Canis lupus familiaris: one gene and its partner. The protein of the gene in region 1 purifies or fractionates together with the protein of each later gene. This does not show direct contact. Links are inferred from orthologs where the notes say so. Each region holds a gene or a part of one and is shown on either strand. Other genes may lie near its edges. The genes, in order: TBPL1 and GTF2A1.

What was found.
Region 2: the proteins of TBPL1 (region 1) and GTF2A1 purify together in Homo sapiens (affinity purification with mass spectrometry; 5 studies listed by BioGRID and IntAct, counting the BioPlex papers as one, with this or other methods). This does not show direct contact. The link is inferred for Canis lupus familiaris from reciprocal best matches to the Homo sapiens genes TBPL1 and GTF2A1.

Annotation. Positions count from the first base shown.
Region 1 is NC_049222.1:27,162,500-27,166,142, forward strand, and holds part of TBPL1 (TATA box-binding protein-like 1), read left to right. Parts: intron 1-95; coding exon 96-178; intron 179-338; coding exon 339-402; intron 403-2,933; coding exon 2,934-3,037; intron 3,038-3,148; coding exon 3,149-3,243; intron 3,244-3,643. UniProt on the Homo sapiens protein: Part of a specialized transcription system that mediates the transcription of most ribosomal proteins through the 5'-TCT-3' motif which is a core promoter element at these genes. Seems to also mediate the transcription of NF1. Does not bind the TATA box.
Region 2 is NC_049229.1:53,857,857-53,861,682, reverse strand, and holds part of GTF2A1 (transcription initiation factor IIA subunit 1), read left to right. Parts: intron 1-1,502; coding exon 1,503-1,707; intron 1,708-2,703; exon of another isoform or gene 2,704-2,848; intron 2,849-3,441; coding exon 3,442-3,506; intron 3,507-3,826. UniProt on the Homo sapiens protein: TFIIA is a component of the transcription machinery of RNA polymerase II and plays an important role in transcriptional activation. TFIIA in a complex with TBP mediates transcriptional activity.

The DNA of each region.
Region 1 (3,643 bases):
AATAAAATGGCCACATAGAGTAGAGCCATAAGTGAAAATTAACACTTAGTATGTAACCATGGTTTTTTTGTTTCTGTTTTTGTTTTTTATTGCAGAAAGTATTAATGAAGCTTAGAAAACCTAGAATTACAGCTACAATTTGGTCCTCAGGAAAAATTATTTGCACTGGAGCAACAAGGTAAATTTTACTTGGATTTTTTATTTTAATTTTTAAATTTTTCCTTTATGGAAAGGACATTTTTCTAGACTTAAAATTATATGTACAGTTTGTCATGTTTGTCAGTATAAAATTTATTTCTTGTGTGACTGATAATCTTTTTCTTTCCTTAAAACCATAGTGAAGAAGAAGCTAAATTTGGTGCCAGACGTTTAGCTCGCAGCCTGCAGAAATTAGGTTTTCAGGTAACATTTTAAAAAACATCCAAACTGTAAATATTAAAGGATTTAATTTGTAAAGTTAAATTTTTTAATGTAATAGACTAAAGAAATCACACAGATACTCTTCTCATGATTGGCCTTTTTCTTACTGTCCTTCAGTACAAAAATTTCATAGTAAGCTCTCACCCATGTGTGTACTTGTAAATGATCCTGGCTTTTTCACTAACCCCTTCCTCATTGAGAGACTTGTTGCCTTACAAGTGAACTGCCTCTTCAACTCTTTAGGTTGTTCACTTCTCACCAAAAAAAATCTCATTTTTGATCATCTCAAGAGTGGTATGTTGGGATGATGAGTAGGGTGTAGGGCCCTATGTTTAAAAAGTTAAAGCGTATTTGTTTTTATTTATAGATAGGTATCACATAAATTATAAAGAAGAGAAAAGATATTAAAATGGAACTTGCAGGGACACCTGGGTGGCTCAGCAGTTGAGTGTCTGCCTTTGGCTTAGGGCGTGATCCCAGGGTCCTGGAATCCAGTCCCACATCAGGCTTCCTACATGGAGCCTGCTTCTCCCTCTGCCTGTGTCTCTCTCTCTCTCTGTCTCTCATGAATAAGTAAATAAAATCTTAAAAAAAAAAAAAAAAAAAGAATGGAACTTGCATAGATGTATGCATTGTACGGCTAAGAGTAAACAGTGTTCCTACATATTATGGTTAGTGAGAACATTACCATTATAACAGGGAATTGTAATTATTTAAAAATATGCAGAATTTATATAATCTGTGCTTTAGAAATAACTGTACATGATGTTGTAAGTTGAAAAGAATTGACATGAATAACTAATACCAACTACACACCTGTGTATAAGAACTCAGGAAAGGCTGTATTCTGTAAAATCAATCATAATGTATTTAAAATGACATAAATCCGGGACGCCTGGGTGGATCAGTGGTTGAGCATATGCCTTTGGCTCAGGGCATGATCCCGCCCTTGGGGAGCCTGCTTCTCCCTCTGCCTGTGTCTCTGCCTCTCCGTTTGTGTCTCTCAGGAATAAATAAAATCTTTAAAAAAATAAAATGACATAAATCCAAAACAAAATGCACATCATATGAAAAGGGACATTTATAAGATTGGTTTCCTGTGTCAAATCTGTGGTTTAGTCCACAAAAAGTAGACACTGGGTGGTGGGCTCTCACATGTAAAATGATACTCTTTGGCAGAGTATCAAGTCTGGCAGGTTAAGTTTATCAAGTATAATTTTATGGAGGCATAAATTTAAGTAAAAGTTAGTACATATTATGGACTTGTTATGTCACTTGCAAATGATGAGTAAATGAAAGAAAGGTAAAGATGAGCTGTGAGCCCCAAAGAGGTGGGCCCAAGCTGTGTGAAATTTGAATGAGTAGTGGTGGAAAGTTGAGTTTCTTTCTGACCTCTTCAGTCTTCATTGAGGTGGAACATGCTAGAAAGGCCTGGAAGTGCTGGTTGCTGCATGAGGAAAGAGGCGGTACTGAGAGTCTTGACTGATGGTGCTGCCACTTGAGACAGTTTTGTGACATTCATCAACTGCCTTATGCAAGTACTCTGCTGGAGAACTGTAGTTTGGGGACATTTCAAAACCTAAGATACAACCATTCAAGTTATTGGTAGGAGTGACTGAAGTAAGTTCCTTCTCAGCCTTGGAGCTTCTTGTCTTAGCATAACATTAGAAATGTTGAAAAAAATCCCAGTTACAAACACAGTCTTCTCACTCTGTCCCCCCAAAAGAAAACAAGCATCTCACTAAACTCACAGAAATATCATTTTATTCTATTGCATATAAGAAAATGTCTGACCTTGGAGCTCAGTGTATGCTCATTATTTATTGACTTTTAAGTGACCGCTTTTCCATTTTGACTCTTGAGAAGAACTCTGCTTTAATTTTTTTTCATCCTTCTTCTTTATCCTAGATTAAATATCTCATTTTAAGTATTAAGAAAATTAAACATAAGATTCAAAAGACCCTATGTGTTTTAATCCTGCAAATATCCTAGGTGTTGTTTAATTTTTTGAGGTTTTTGACCTTTGATTTCCCTTTAGAGTTGACTCTTTAACAACACAGGTTTGAACTGTGCAGATCCATGTACAGGCAGATTTTTTTTGAATAAGTATAGTATTATAATTGTATTTTCTCTTCCTTATGATTTTCTCTAGCTTTGTTGTAAGAATACAGTAGATTAAGATACAAAATATGTCTTAATTGGCTGTTTTATAGGTAAGACTTCCAGTCAACAGTAGGCTAGTAGTAGTTGAGTTTTGGGGGAGTCAGAAGTTATGCGTGGACATCTGACTGGCCAGGGATACTAATCCTTGTATTGTTCAAGAGTCAACTGTATGGTATTAAGAAATCACTGATAAAGTACAATATTGATGTTTAAGATGTACTTGTTCTTTCTTGCTCTTATTCTTAAGGATTGAAATAATGATTTACAATTGTTCTGATGAGCAGTTTTTTTTCTAATGAGTAATTTTTTTGTTTTAAAATAACTTATTGAGTCGTACTTCTCTCCTAAAGGTAATATTTACAGATTTTAAGGTCGTTAACGTTTTGGCAGTGTGTAACATGCCGTTTGAAATTCGTTTGCCAGAATTCACAAAGAACAATAGACCTCATGCCAGGTAGGTCTCTGAATAATCAAGACAACTTACCAAATTTATAATTACCTGTCAGCCTGTAAATATTTATATTAATTGTGATTTTTTTCTTTTTTTTTTTTTTTTTTTTGGTAGTTATGAACCTGAACTTCATCCTGCTGTGTGCTATCGGATAAAATCTCTAAGAGCTACATTACAGATTTTTTCAACAGGGAGTATCACAGTAACAGGTATTTTATGGTATTGAAACCAAGCTTAAAAAAAAAAAAAAAGAAAAAAAGAAACCAAGCTTATCATCAGTTAAGGTTTGAATGAGGTGCCTGTATTAAAATAGAAATAATGTCTCATTTGTCCACTTTAGTCACTTCTACTCCACAAACCAGTCCCCTGACTTTTAACACTGTAGTTTAGCTTCCCCTATTTTTATCTACTACTTCAAAACTTTATATATGCTCCTTGGGATCTCTCTTCTTTCATTGATTATTATTATAGTGAGATTCATCCATATTATCCCATAATATAGTAGTTATAGATCATTCTTATTGCTGTATAATACACAGTATATGAATATATTGTCTGTAAGCATTTGGATAGTTTCCCGTTTGGAGCTATTAAGAATATTCTAATATA
Region 2 (3,826 bases), on another chromosome or scaffold:
GGAATGGTTGCTTTGGGAGACTGACCTTTAGTTTACTTTTTCAGCAAGCCAATAGAGAGATTTGCTAGAATTGTTACTAGCATGTACTTACAAATACAGAATTTCTAGAATAGTTGGAAGTGTCAAGGAGACACTCGTAAAGCGTTGTGAGCATAGTAAAGGGAGGCTCTGATAGAAACCTCAGGTGTGTTAGGTAATATTCCAAGAGTATATCCTAGGGGGGAAAACAGTGTATGTAGGTGTTAGGTGCTGGTATACAAAATGATTGATATATTATTTTTAAAATATTTTATTTACTTGAGAGAGAGCGAGCCTGTGACTGTGCTCAAGAGCAGGGAGCGCGGGAGCGGGGATGAAGGTGAGGAGGAAGGAGGAGAGGGGGGACCAGCAGACTCCCTGCAGGACCATGAGTTCATGACCTGAGCCAAAACTGAGTCGACCACTTAACCAGCTGAGCCACCCAGGTGCCCCAAAATAACTGAATTAAATTTCATTTGTATATTTAAAGAATAGTTTTCTTTCTTGGGCAATTTCTTAGAAGGGTTAAGGTTTTCCACAATGAAGACTTAAATCTGGTTAGAGAGGAAATGTGTGAGGGAGAGGAATGCAGTAGTCATAAATATTTTATTTTCTGTCTTCCTTTGCCCATGTCTGATTTATTTCCCCATCATAATTGCTGTGTCCTAGGGTGAGAGGAGAAAATAGAAGTGGCAAAGCAGAAAAGGATTGTTATTCCTTGTCATGATGGAGGATGGAGGGGAATTTCAAAAGGTGTGGAGGGTTGAGAATGCCTCTAAAAGCGTTAGGCATTGTTGGTTTTTTAACTTGTGTAGGATCAGACAAAGTTAGGCTTTTCTAACTTGAGGATTGCCTCTATGATGTTTCTCATTGTTCAAATCAAGGAAACATGAATTTATGTTTTGCTATAATAGCTTAAAAGTTAGATATTTCATTAAAGGGAGATTTCCATGAAAATAGTAATTATTTTGATGTTAAAAAAGGGTACCCTGATGATTAAAAAATTGCTTATGTGAAACTCTGCCTGGAATTACCGTAGAGAGTTTGAAGACATAAAAAGAAACAAAATTCTAGGCAACCTCGGTGGCTCGGCGGTTTAGCGCCTGCCTTCGGCCCGGGGCGTAATCCTGGAGACCCAGGATCGAGTCCCACATCGGGCTCCCCGCATGGAGCCTGCTTCTCCTCCCTCTGCCTGTGTCTCTGCCTCTCTCTCTCTGTGTCTCTCATGAAGAAATAAATAAAAAATCTTAAAAAAAAAAAAAAAGAAACAAAATTCTTCAGTACTCCAAGATAGCAAAAAAGAAATTTGATACTTTAAAAGTTATTTTTCATTATTGTATACACTTGTGTAAAAATTAGAGATTGGTTTATTTTGTGGTTGTATTGGTTTTGAAAATGGAAGAATTTTATGAACAGACTAATAAAATATGTTTTATCCACATGTCTGAAGTTACCTTCACTAACATTACTTTTCTTTGCCTTAGTTGTGGGAGAATAAACTAATGCAATCTAGGGCAGTAGATGGATTTCATTCAGAAGAGCAGCAGCTTTTATTGCAAGTTCAACAGCAGCATCAACCCCAGCAACAGCAACATCACCACCACCACCACCATCAGCAAACTCAACCACAGCAAACGGTACCTCAGCAAGCGCAGACTCAGCAGGTCCTTATTCCTGCATCACAGCAAGGTGAGACTGGATATATTTTTCTACTTACAACGTGGAAATGAAATTTGTCATTTTCAAAGAAGAGAAATAGCTGTAGGTTTTTCCTTTTTATTGACTGAGGGGATAGTGTATGTATATTTACATACAAATTTTGTATAAAACGTGGATTTTATATTGTAGAAATTATAAACAAGTAGTTAACTGAGAGCCTACGATGATATTCTTAAAAGTGTATTAATACTTTCTTTCGAGAAGGCTATAAAACGGTAGATTTCCCTAAATAAGTCAGACCTATTAAAGATTTATTTACTAAGGATTTCATTATTTCATATGGTAAAATTGTTACCACTTTCTTTGTAAAATTGATCAAAGACATTTAAGTTTGTTTTTTATAAATACATCTTAAGCACTGGGGGATTTTTGTAAGTATGGCAGTCTGAAATTTCAGTTCTTTAATACTTTGTGTAAGTATAAATTGGCTGAATTAGACTTAAGTGAAGAGTGTGTGTGTATCATAATTTATATTACTTGGTTTAAAGGTAAGAAAAAAACCAAATATAGACTGTGTCCATACTTCTTTGTACTATGCAAGTAAATCTGTAAATTTGTTTCATTGAAGCTTTACAAAAGGCTTTGTGAAATAGTTCTCCCAACATTTTAATACTAAGGGAAATTTGGGCCCTGAGAAGGCCAGGAAGGTTGGCCTATTACATGTAACAAGTATTTTCTGTCATCACAAACCTGTTTGGTCATGAAGCTTTCCAAGCATTTGCATTTTGTAAATCTTATTATTGGAGAGGAGAATGAAGGTAAATGAAAAGTTTAATTACTACCCATTTGCCTTATTTGAGAGTGGCTGAGAATATATAAGACTTAAAATTGATAGTGATACATAGTAAGTAATGTATGGTAGAAATGTCTGTTTGGATTGTTTTACTGTTTATACCAAATAAGACCTTTAACATTTGATTTTATTCTATACCTGCATTAAATAATTTTATCCTTTTTCATCTGTTTTGATGACTGTTCCTCCTATTGCCTTCAGGCCTTGGCACTAGGATTTTAGGTCATCATAAATTAAAATTTGATTTTCTTCACTCAGAGAATATTAGGATAATGGGATTATCTGTTTATTCTCTGAAATTTGCGGAATCAAACATCTAATTCCTTTTATATTTACGTAACATTGCCATTGTTTCTTCTCTCTCTCTTTTTTTAACAGCCATTATTTCTGATTTATATTTTTTAAAAAGTTGTTGGAAGTAACAAGATTTTGACAGCTGTCAAATGGGAGAAGAAGGCTATGTAGATGTAAAAAAAAAAAACCTAGTTAATAGTTTCTTTGAGCTCATTCTTAATGGGTTACTAACTCATTCTAACAGTAGTATTAAACAATATTGAGTTAGCAAGATACAATTAAATTTTGTTTGAAATTTTCCAGTTTAAGAACGTACAGAGCTGTATATGTATAGGTTTTAGGTATCTCACTACTTCATGCATCCAAATTTCTTTGTATCCTTAGGTATTGTTACACAAATCTTTTTTTAAATTGATATTTTTAAGTATAATATGGGTATATCACAGCTGTTATTTACCATAGAAATTTATAACATTCTTAGGTATCAAATGGGTGGATGCATTTGGATGTAGAAAACAGGAAAAAAAGTTCTCATCATTGTATAGCATTCTTAGTATTTTGAAACAGCCTCATGGTTCCTTGTTTGCACTTGTGCTTTTTGTTTTTTTCTATAATAGCTGCTGCACCACAAGTTATAGTTCCTGATTCTAAGCTGATACAACATATGAACGCATCAAATATGGTAAGACTTGGAATATAGTATTTTGCTTAGCTCTACTTATTCTAACTCAAAATTGTGATTATGCTTAGGTGTGTTGTATATTAACAATGTGAAATTTATTTGAGACTTTAACAAAATGGCTGTTTATTTGGTTTCCTCGTTATTGGGTTTAGCAGCACATCTAAAATTTAGCTTGATACTTAGACATAGAGGTTCATAAAATTATGCAGTTTTCTGTTGAAAATACCAAAAGAATAATGTTTTGTGAGAGATCTTCCGTCCCATGCTATTTTTGGAAAATGGGTTTAGGGCACCTACCAAACATACTGTGTCAATTATAG